Nothobranchius furzeri: one gene and its partners. The protein of the gene in region 1 interacts with the protein of each later gene in a pairwise test. Links are inferred from orthologs where the notes say so. Each region holds a gene or a part of one and is shown in the gene's direction. Other genes may lie near its edges. The genes, in order: cAMP-dependent protein kinase type II-beta regulatory subunit, prkacab and taf12.

Region 1 (2,937 bases):
TGAAATAATGCAAAACGACACGCTAGAGCGCCCCCTATCGTCCCTTTTGACAGTAAATGATTTGCTTACTTAAAGCAGGCTTCTATTGACACCTGCTGTGTAATCCGGTTTAAATGTTTGCGGAGAAGGCAGAGAAACCTGCAGCAGTAGAGGAAATGCAACGTGAGGAGAATGCAGAATTATGGATTGCATCCCTATTTGTCCACAACAGTGTTTTTGTGCTTCCTGGTTTGATTATTGAAAACGACGTTGATTTTTTTTCTTGCAGAAATGTATTTCGTAACAGTGCATGGCTGTGTATAACAAGACAAAATATATACCTGTGTTTCAGGATCGACTGACATTCAGGAGGATCATAGTGAAGAACAACGCCAAGAAGAGGAAGATGTATGAAGCATTTATTGAAACACTACCACTGCTCACATCCTTAGAGGTAAACAAAAGATGAGCTTTTTTACTCAAGTGGCAACAAACTGCATCATGTTGTTACAGTAAAAGTGTAAAAAAAAACACATTTCATTTTGTCGGCAGGTGTCAGAGAGAATGAAGGTGGTGGACGTGCTAACCACTAGGGTGTACAATGATTCACAGCAGATCATTGCTCAGGTGAAGACACTTTAAATTAGTTTTGTGTCTGTAAAATTTGAGTTGCTAGTTTTTGTGCTCAGAAGGTCATATTGTTTTTCATGACAGGGTGATTTAGCAGATTGCTTCTACATCGTGGAGAGTGGCCAAGTTAGAATCACCATGAAGAGAAGCCGGGTATTTATTTATTCTGAGGAAACTTTCATATATAGTTACTGTATTAACATGTGATAACATGTGTTTATCATTCCAGACAAAAACAGACCAGGAGGAAGAGGAGGTGGATATTGCCACATGCACAAGGGGCCAGTATTTTGGAGAGTTGGCTCTTGTCACAAACAAGCCCAGAGCTGCATCTGCCTATGCTGTGGGGAGTGTCAAATGCTTGGGTACATTTTGTACAGTTCTATGTTTTGAAGGGTCATAGCTCATAAATGCTCATAAATACAATTCTGTTGTTACTGTTTTTGAAATATTTTAGCTTGTGCTATTAAGAGTATTTGACAAACCTGATAAATGTTCAGGTCTATTTTATAAATACCCCCAAACCCCAAAATGTGAATTATTGCACTCATTGCTGGAGTTGATTTATACAACAGTTTCACTAAATAATATCTAATAAGTGCTTTAAAATAAAGCACACTAAGGAAAATGTGATGCTATAAACTTAAAATATAGATAAACAAGTTTAGGTATTTTGTCAGTTTTTTCATGAATGTATTTTCAGACGTCTTTTTGAATCCACATACCAAACATATGTTTGCTTTGATAACGTTAAAATGTAACAAAAAAACGTTGGTACATAATAAACATAAAACAGACAAAGGTTTCCTGATTTTGGGATCACCTCAGTTATCATGACAAATGCTGGAGAACACTCTGATGACAGAAAGCTCTCATCAGGTGCACTGCCATATCTACAAGGCGACCAACAAAAGCTCACAGTTTTTTTGCGGGTCTACCCCGGTCACTATCTTTTGTACTCCCAAAGATTCACTTGGGTACTTTCTTTTCAAAGAGTAGTTTCTCATCTTCTTTGAAGTACAAACATCCAGGACTGAAATTGTCTGGAAGCTCGTCTTACTTTCTTATTCTGATGTTTTAAAATTCTATTTAAGGTTCAGTAAAGGAAGAAAGTTTACATTCTTCAGAACAGTCCAGATTACTGCTTATGAGTCGACATCAGGTATGTCCAAAGTGCTGCCCAGAAGGAATTTGATTTAGCTCGGTCTCCGATTGTATTTCTACATTAATTAATTTTGTCTCTCCAGCAGGCTTTTAATGTAGATCAATACTTAAAAAAAAATTACGTTCAGATTTTTAATAGGCCAAGTTTGGACCTATTTTAAGGAGTGCAATAAAAACAAATCACCATTATTTGTTGGTCTTTTAAAAAAAATCCAAATTTTGTGACCTACGACTACTAATTAGATGCTTTTTGACCCTCGTCTTGAAAATGTTTGGACAGCTTTAGTCTACATTATTTAATTTCTGTAAAACAATTCCTTATCCCTTCCTTTTTGTTAGTCATGGACGTTAAAGCCTTTGAGAGACTGCTCGGCCCATGCATGGACATCATGAAGAGGAACATTGCTAACTACGAGGAGCAGCTGGTGACCTTGTTTGGAAGTAGCCCTGAGATTGAACAACAGAATGCATGAGGTGACTCCTCCAATGGACCATAATCAAGATGATACAAAACACACTCATACACAAAAAAGAGGCTTATATGGATGTTTTCCATGTTACTACTTTAAACAAGCTTTTTTAAGAAAACAGAAAACAAGACATGTAAATATCCACCACTCTACATCTGAAACAAGACGTGTTGAGTTTGCAACCGAACGTCACAGCTGCAGTAAGCCAAAGCAGAGTTGCGTAGATGCTTGTTTAATTACATTTGCCATGATTTTCACCCTAAAATATGTGTGCATTTTACTTGTTGGTGCCAAGTGCTTTATTTGTTGGTAAATGAACACTAACTTTCGCTTTTCTTCATAACGGTATAGCAGTAATGCATAATGTGTACATTTCTGATCCATGCTTTTCATGAACTGGGTGCCAAAGCTAGTTACTCTTACTGGATAATTGTGAGCAGATTTGCCTCCTTTGTTTGTCAGCGGAGGTGCAACATGAGAAAAATCAGGACTTTTGATTACAGCAAAATGTAGTTAGCCGTCATACGAAAATACGTTTGTTAGTCATCAGACTGAAATCTTTAAATCCATCCCCATAATTACTGTTAGTACATGTTTGTGGCTTTTTGCCCAATGCTCTGCTTTTTCAACAAAGCAAACTTCAGAAACATAGCTGATAGTTTTGTAACAAAATACAACACATTGCTGTAAATTT
Region 2 (4,263 bases), about 56 Mb from region 1:
CAACCGAAACAGCAGCAATCAGAATTGGATGCACTCCGAATGCAGCATTATGTAAACATGCAGCAGGGTTTAAGAGCTAAAAATAAGCTGATCAGCTGCAAATCGATCTGGTAAATATTGCCAAACATCTGCTTGTTGCATCTTTATTTAATTTGAAGAGCTGCCACTTTTGCCTAACGTTGACAGTCATTTGGCATGGTTTTACAGCACCTGAGATCAAATGTGGAAAAGAATATAGCTGGTTAATTGGTTGTGCTGTAAAAAATGTGGCTTCAGAGTCAAAGTGATGAGGATGCTATGAGATCTATTTATAGATTTGATTTATTTTTTCCTACCAACACAAGCTTACGTTAAATCAAAGGGGCATTCTAATGCAAATCTGCGAATCGGAGCTTTTGATGATGCTGATGATAAAAGGACCCCTGGTCCGCTGCTCTCTAGTCCAGCTGCTGCGGGGTGATGAAGATGAAACACCAGTTTTTAAAATCTTGTTTATTTGTGTTCATTTCTCACAGAATAGCCTGCGAAATGTTTAGATGTCTTTGCTGCCACACTGCGCCGCGCGTGCGTTAAATTCTGACCAACATTTCTAAAAATAGACTCACGGTTGACGTCACTCAGCCAAACGTGTAACAGTCGCTCAGCAGCGGGAAAGAGCGAAGTAGAGGAGGAGGGTATTTATGTCAATCACTGGTGACAGCCAATGGGCGTCCTCGTGTTCGCTGAGATTCCCACGGTCCGTCCGTATCTAGCCAATAGAAGGGCCGGATCACAAAAAGTGGGCGGAGTCGTTGTCGGGAGGAAAATATTCTGTGACGTTGCCCTCATTCGCGTTGTGTTGGGCGGTGGGAAGCTGCTGTTGTTGATTGACGGCTGCAGTTGGCCAATCACAGTAAACTGTTGGTCACCGCTCTGATAAAGTGGCCAATCATCGACGTAAGCACGAGCTGTCATTCAACGCTGGTTTAAGCAAGTAGGCGGGACGTTCGCTCCGCTGTAGTTCCGTCATCTCGCTGGTCTCCGAGGCTACGGGGGCCCGATGTTGATTTGGGTGAATACCTGTCGTTGTCGGACCCCGCTGAGGCTAAAATTTTGCTAAGCTGGTTTTATTGACAACAAGCGAGACGCTTTCGATTGAGAACATTGCTCCCTCTCCGCTGGTATTGTTGTTTTTATAGGCTGGGAGAGGTGGTGGAGAGCCGGGGAGGGGAGCTCCGTTCGGCGGGGGCTGCAAGGAGGGTCAGGTGGAGACTGTATCCTCCGTGTCCAGGCCAGCTGCCTCCGAGCTCAACCCTGAAGCTCCGGCGAAGCCCCAGCTCAACGTGGATTTAAATCCGATGCTGGCCAGCGGCTGCGGGTGACCGTGGGAGGGAGCGAACCCGCTTATCTAACGTGGCGCCGCATTAGCAGCTGTCAGGCTACTAAAGAGCAAGACCTCGGAGTGAACGCTCCGTGCTGCTGCTGGATTCAGGAAAACACCGTCCAGATCGAGATTTGACCGACTTGAGGAGGCTGCAGGGCGGCCGGAACGCCGCGGATTGCCTGTTGACAGGTTGTCATCATGGGCAACGCGCCCACGGCAAGAAAGGGCAGCGAGATGGAAAGCGGTGGGTATCCTGATCCGTTACATCCTCACGAGATGATCAGAGACAACGTGACACGGCAGGCGATGTTAGCTTTACAAAACCTGCAACACAGCGGCCTTTCCTCACGATGCTTTCATTTAATACCATCCACATGATGTCCTCCTTACAAGCGAATTAGGATGTTATTTGACATGAACCCCATACCAGCAGCGATGGCTGCAAGTTCTTCATCATTTCAAATATGTTATTGAGATCTCTAAATAAAACTCAAGATTTCCTGCTACAGGGCATTTAACTGAGGATGCAAAGCTAGAATTAACTGCAAAACAACCACTCTTAAGCTGCAGTAATATTGGCATCCTCACTTCCTCTTGTACTCGGATCTTGGCAAGACTGCAACAAACTATGTGTCAGATATTTCCTGAACACTCTGTGCCTGTTGCTCTTTGGAGGGATGTATTGTCAAGACTTCTTGCAAACATGGGGGGGGGGGGGGGGGGGGGCATTTAGTGTTGATTGGCTAAGGGATATAATTTGGTCTATCAAATAAACAAAAGTATGGAAGCCTACTGATGAGAAAGCGATGGCAATCAAAGCGATTGTGTTTTATAAATCTACATTTTAGGTTGACATTACGTGACTTTTCATTAAGAACCACAACCTTTGTACCTCAGGGCGCAGTAAAAACAACCTGCACATTGGAAACATGAAAAATATACATTCTTCAATATGAAGCGTGAATATTTTGGCTCAGAATCGCTGCTTTGGATGTTATTCTTGTGTGTTGTTGTGCTGTAAGTTTTACTCACGTTTACAGCAATCCTGTTACTAAATAAAACTGGATTTACTTTGACTAATTTGATAGACGATGTGTGGGGCTGGGAAAAAGTATTTACCTCTTTACAGATTTCTACAGTCTTTGCTTTTGGGGTCAAATTTAGATGTTTCAGACTCTGCTAATTTCAGTATCTGATTTAATTCATCAAGGTGGGGGGAAATTGTCTGGCTCTATGTGAAAATAGCCTGCAGCCAGCCGCATGCTTCCTTATGGGAAGTTCTCTGTGTAGAATTAAACAGAGGATGAGTCTGGCAGGCCAGGCTAATGTGAAAACTGTTTAATTGGGGATAACACCTTTGGTGACAACAGCTGATGCAGCTTTAAGGTCAAAGGCTACAAACTCCTTCAAGATTTTCTGATAGAATTCATGTTTGCATCCGTTGCAGCAAGTGGTCCAGGTGCTGAAGCAGCGAAGCCCTAAACATCACACTACCACCACCATGGTTGACCATGATGCTCTTTCACTGACATTTAATTTTACACCAGATTTAATGGGTTGCACACCTTCCATAAAGTTTGAATTTCATTTGGTCAGTCCACAAAATATTTTGCCAAAAGCCCGGGAGATCATGATGCCTTTGGCAAATGTGAGATGGGTCTTAGTTGTGTTCTTTTTTTAATCTGCTGAGGTTCTGGCCTTGGAACTATAAACATGAATACTTAGATGACCCATTGGGCTCTGGGGAGTGTAACAGCGTGCATTCAGGCTTCCAACACAAAATAATGGACACCACCAGTGTTGTTGAGTACTAAAAGAACTTCAACAAAAGAACTTACCAAGTATTCTGTGCACCTAAATAATAGTGACACACACCCCCATCGACAGTTGCCACATACAACCTGAAAAACATTACAAATAAGATGTAGAAACGCCAGGAAAAGTGACACCGGTCAATTTAGGCAGAAATGTTGAAATTTTTAACGACATAACAATTGATAACAACAATAAACAACTACTCGGTTCTGTAAAAAAAAAAAACAGAACATATAAATGAGAAAAAAATAAAGCTGAAAACTACTTCCTGGTAGCACTGGACATCTTAAAATTTGTGATCTTGGGTCCTCTGAAACCTACCAGCTCGCAGCTCAGAATTCTGAGTTTAATGCGTCATTTCCGGTTAACTTACCTCAGAAAAACGAGTTCTGACGACAACTGGAACGCACCACTAATCTCCATTTTCAGTCAATGGGGCTAAAAAAGCTATTTTTTAATCTGCTTTGCCTGACGCCCTGAATTGCACACATGTTGCACTTCAATTTAAATGAAAAGTAAAGATGTGTGTTTCGATCACACCTGTCAAATTTTGAAACGTATGAGTTTGTAAAAATTTGTAATTACAATTACAAATCGGACGTCCCCCCCCCCCCCCCCCCCCCCCGTGTAGCTGCTATTTACCACATGGCAAGATTCATGGTTGTTCTTTCCTACTGAAAGAAGGATTCGAAGCTCCCTTAACCATTTTTCCTATCCTCTTCTATAATGGCCTCCATTTAAAATGATAGCGCAGCCGCGATGTGGCGCGTCTGTCTCCGGTGTGCCCTAAGCTTTAGACACCATAAAGACAGCACCAATCCAAGGGGGGCCTACATATGGTATGTCTGTTGGGTTATAAGCTTGACTCTCCGAAAGTCCAGTTAGAATTGACAAAGTTCATCGGATGAGAAGCGAAACATCTTCAAGAAACCAAAGAAGTCCAGTTGCCTTCATTTGAACTCTCATAATGCAATTTTTTTTTCAGCTTTTTCTTATGTTGAATTATGAATTTTGACCTTAACCAAGCCAGGCCTGTAGTGTTTTAGATGCTGTTTTGTGTTATATTTTCTTTAAAACAGGGCAGG
Region 3 (4,276 bases), on another chromosome or scaffold:
GACTCTGAGGAGAGACACTCAAGCACGACCGGCTCTTCCTCCAGAACAGGCTCAGTTGGCCCTTTAATGGTCAAAGTTGCTGCATAAAAACAGAAATAATGAAGTTATTGATCAGTGAAAGCATGTAGATTAATAAGTTTAAACCATAGAAATACTAGATACTTTGATCACATGACCACAAACAGGTTCCATCTATTGGCGCCAAGAGTTTAAGTTTGTTGATGTTTTTATTTTTCTACTAAAACCCAGTAAACATGAGGTTATATTCTATATACTTAATTTGTTTAATTTTCTGAACTCTGAACATTTGCTGTTTATCTCTGCGTGACGTAAGCACCAGTGTTTAGAACAGATGAGACGCAAACAGGCAAGTAAACACGACTCTGTAGAATAAATCTATAACAAAAAGATAAAAAGTAAAATGAGAAAAACTAAAAGAGTAAAATCCTAAACCAAGCTTCCTTTTACATAAGAAAAAACACACAGCTTTAAAAACAGTTGATGAGAATTAGAAACATATTTACCGAAGGTGCCATGAATCAGGACCACCAGTGAAAACACCAGAAAGGTTTTCATGTCTGTGGAAAATCTTTTCACCACTAAAACTGAAGTCCTGAAGTGCTGCGCAGCTCTAAACTGAAATGAAAGTTTCCTTTGTATTAGTAGATCAGAGCGTAGGTGTGGCTTTCTGTTCTGCTTTTGTCCAGGAAGTGTGATATCAGATTATTAAGAGACTCTGAAAGATCATAGCCATTATTTTCATTTTATGCATGAAAATAAATGACGCGGAATAGGTATGGTTTTGCAACAGCGTTGCTCTAGGGATTACATTTCGGTTATTTGCTCAACTGCGCCAGACAAAGGGACGCTTCGCTCCTCCGCCAATGGTATTATGTAAACTCAGCGCGTCATTTGTATCCACGGGGGAAAGCGCTCAAGGTAGGTTTGAAAGTTCAGGGGTTTCCTGAAGAACTTGTTGTAGTTTTGCTTTTGTTTTACTATTACTTTTTATTTGTAGGGTGACATGTAATACAAAAGCCAAGCCAGCACTATGCGCTTCATCGGCTTTGATCCCTTAATTTGTTTTATTATGTTTTGGCACGAAATCTGGTCATTAACTGATTATGTGTGCACACGATATTTACAAAACAAATAAATTCAATACAAAATAAATTTGGGTTGATAAAAAGCTCATATTCTTCATTAACTTGTGGTTTAAGAGATGTTTCATTTAGCAAATTATTCCACAGAAGTGTTTTAGATTAAATTAGGGAATGTTTGGGGTTTAAAATAGAAATTCTGTTGTAATATATTTCAATTAAGTACAGTTTATTTATATTGTTTGATTGGATTATCACTATTTTATTGGAAAATTGTTCATTTATCTGTAAAATTCAGTAAATCCGTGAAGTTTTAACCCGCTTGTTTGTGTAATACTTTGAATATCCAGCAGGAGGCGACATAGGAACAACGCCTTGACACAGGAAGTATAACCAAGCTAACCGGAAATGCTGAAAAGCACTCGCTCGTTTGTTTTTATTGTATGGAGACACAATTTTGGATTATCTTTGTAACTAAAACACTTAGTCGTTTTTGTATCAAATAAATATGGACAGATAGTGTTTATTTAACGTGGTGAGTATTCGAATTCAGATAATTTTTGAGTGCAGGGTACATAACGTTCTTCCGTCAGATTAGCTGCTAACGTTAGCGTCTGTGGCTAACGTCAAAAATGGATAGCGTTTGTTTTTAGTATCTGGATTTTCTACTTTTTAAATCGCTGCTTTTTTTTTGTCACAGATGCTGAGTCGCTTGCTTGCAACCGGAGAGTTTTAGTGAATGTTACGAAATGTTCTGCTTTTTTGGTTTCTGTCTGTAATTTGTCCAGGGCTAACTCGTTGTTTGACTGCTAATCTAATCAGTCTATGGCGAATTGAAGCTACAGCGAGCTCACAAACACTTTTATTCCACTTCATATTATTTTATGTCAGTATTAGGTTACCTTACATACTTTCAAGCACATATTTTTCAACAGCTGTGCAATGGTCATTGTAACAATCATTAATGGGTAGCAAGTCAGTGGATCAACATTCATCACGAATAGCAGCAATTAAAAACAAATATCTGTGCTGGAAATAAAAAACTGTTATTAATTTGATTTATTGAGAGGAATTATGTCATGGAAATTTCCTTTTAAAATCTGTCACTCTGGTAAAACTTGTGATCAAGCTAACTTCACTTGGGACTGCTGTTTATTTTCTGATTCTTCACCTTAGATTAAAGGCCGTGTTCCTCGTACGAAGGTGATCTATTCTACCTGTGCCCAAGTTGGACGGTCACCCAGGACTGTTGCTTTCTCTGAAGGACTTCCACATTTTGGGCACCTCAGAAACCAGTGGATCCCAGTACGCTTGCCTGTGTTTACCAGCATGGCTAACAACACCCCGATAATAGTGAAGGGTCTGCCCTCGGGTCCTGCAGGTAGAAGCAGCCCAGAGGGCTCTCAGGTTTGTTCCTCCTCTTTGCTGTCTTTGTCTAATGTCATTTTGAATAAAGTGTTTATCTCTAAATAAAAAAACAAGAATTCTATTCTAACACACATTTCTGTGAAAATTTTCTCCAGGTGCTCAGTAAGAAGAAGCTTCAGGACCTGGTGAGAGAAATCGACCCAAATGAGCAGCTGGATGAGGATGTTGAGGAGGTTTGTTAGTGGTGTTCAACTTAAATTTCCACTTTCATACCCAAATCTGCTTCAAAATACACGACTTAAACATAAATAAAGCATTTTTTCTCATTTAAAAATAGTTTAGAAGTCTGATTTCAAGAAATAATGGGGCAATTGATAATAATTATCCTTTTCGAGGTTGAATAGTGTCGCTTGAGTTCTATAAATGTTTTTGAAGGCATCAGAAATGTTTCTCTTCTCAGATGCTGCTTCAAATTGCGGATGACTTCATAGAAAGTGTGGTGACAGCTGCCTGCCAACTAGCACGCCATCGCAAATCCAACACATTAGAAGTTAAAGATGTTCAGCTACACCTCGGTAGGTTTCGGGTAACTTAATTGTAAAATTCTAAAATGAGTACAATTTTGGGACTTTTGCACAAGGAAATCAAACCTAGAACATAATAGCATTACTTTCAAATATTCTTTCTAATGAAATATCGTGAGGTCTGAGGTGACATATTGTCTTCATGTAATCATTTCATGCTTTCAGAGCGCCAGTGGAACATGTGGATACCTGGTTACGGGTCAGATGAAATCAGACCGTTCAAGAAAGCATGCACCACAGAGGCTCATAAACAGGTAAATATGAAAAAAAGTTGGTTTCTGTTAGAATCAATAGTGTCTAAATATTCCTTTCAATATCGTACGTGAGTCTGCACACGTAAAAAAAACCTGACTGAGATCATCTCTTATTTTCTGTTTCAGAGAATGGCGCTGATCCGCAAGACGACCAAAAAGTAGCATCAGACTCTGTTGTTCTGAATGTTTTTTTGGTAATAGACAATGTACGTGGTTTTGACGAGGGGTGTATATCTTTTGAAATAAATCGTTTTTGTCACGTCTCTTGAGACATTTGCGTGCTTTGCCAGAGCACGATAGTATTTGTGTGTTTTACTCTGACGTGTTACCGCTGCGCTACGACCGGCTGAACCTCATTGTACTCTGTTAAAAATATTGTTTGTAACGTCATCGTCTAATGTGGTTAGATTTTTGACACTCTTGATCATGGAGATGATAACCATACTGACTGTGTTTACCCTGCTTGACTTTGTTTTTCCCTTTTCTTTCTCTAAATCAAAAATAGAAAGATATGGTATTTAATTGAATTTTACATTGTCAGAAATAAAGTAATAATACCACGATACAAGTTATGCTTTGGAGTTTGCATTCTCCATGCTTTGACTTGAGTGTCATTCATTTGAAAAGCAAAGAAAATGGATGTTTTATGTGAGTGTAGTTGAGGGTTTCACGAGTAAAAATGTCTCGGTGTCAGGCAATCCCAGCACATTTAAAACTGCATCTAGATGAACGATGAAGTGGTTCAGAGGCTGAGCCGATATATCAACAAATGTGATGGATTCACTAAACACGAGGATGATTTAGGCTGTGGAATAAAATAAAGCAACAGCTGTTAAGTTGTTTTCTTTTGGTGGATGAAGGGTTTATTAGAGGGATCACAATGGCTGCAGGAGCAGTGCATGAAAACAAGTCAGTCACTTGTAGAGTGATGTGCAGTTATTGTTACAGCAAAGCATTTTATTTGTAACTA

Evidence for each region.
Region 2: the proteins of cAMP-dependent protein kinase type II-beta regulatory subunit (region 1) and prkacab interact in binary tests that used the Homo sapiens proteins (3 or more experiments, as listed by UniProt). The link is inferred for Nothobranchius furzeri from reciprocal best matches to the Homo sapiens genes PRKAR2B and PRKACA.
Region 3: the proteins of cAMP-dependent protein kinase type II-beta regulatory subunit (region 1) and taf12 interact in binary tests that used the Homo sapiens proteins (3 or more experiments, as listed by UniProt). The two-hybrid records come from large-scale screens. The link is inferred for Nothobranchius furzeri from reciprocal best matches to the Homo sapiens genes PRKAR2B and TAF12.

The regions. Positions count from the first base shown.
Region 1 is NC_091744.1:62,300,421-62,303,357, forward strand, and holds the end of cAMP-dependent protein kinase type II-beta regulatory subunit, read left to right. Parts: intron 1-331; coding exon 332-433; intron 434-531; coding exon 532-606; intron 607-693; coding exon 694-762; intron 763-838; coding exon 839-974; intron 975-2,112; coding exon 2,113-2,246; 3' UTR 2,247-2,383; downstream 2,384-2,937. UniProt on the Homo sapiens protein: Regulatory subunit of the cAMP-dependent protein kinases involved in cAMP signaling in cells. Type II regulatory chains mediate membrane association by binding to anchoring proteins, including the MAP2 kinase.
Region 2 is NC_091744.1:6,143,417-6,147,679, reverse strand, and holds the start of prkacab (cAMP-dependent protein kinase catalytic subunit alpha), read left to right. Parts: upstream 1-1,337; 5' UTR 1,338-1,561; coding exon 1,562-1,607; intron 1,608-4,263.
Region 3 is NC_091745.1:72,393,532-72,397,807, reverse strand, and holds taf12 (transcription initiation factor TFIID subunit 12), read left to right. Parts: upstream 1-1,459; 5' UTR 1,460-1,635; intron 1,636-2,276; 5' UTR 2,277-2,429; coding exon 2,430-2,507; intron 2,508-2,623; coding exon 2,624-2,701; intron 2,702-2,928; coding exon 2,929-3,043; intron 3,044-3,217; coding exon 3,218-3,306; intron 3,307-3,432; coding exon 3,433-3,468; 3' UTR 3,469-3,874; downstream 3,875-4,276. Other genes in the region: si:ch211-79k12.1 (roundabout homolog 1), read right to left, coding at 1-79, 525-576. UniProt on the Homo sapiens protein: The TFIID basal transcription factor complex plays a major role in the initiation of RNA polymerase II (Pol II)-dependent transcription.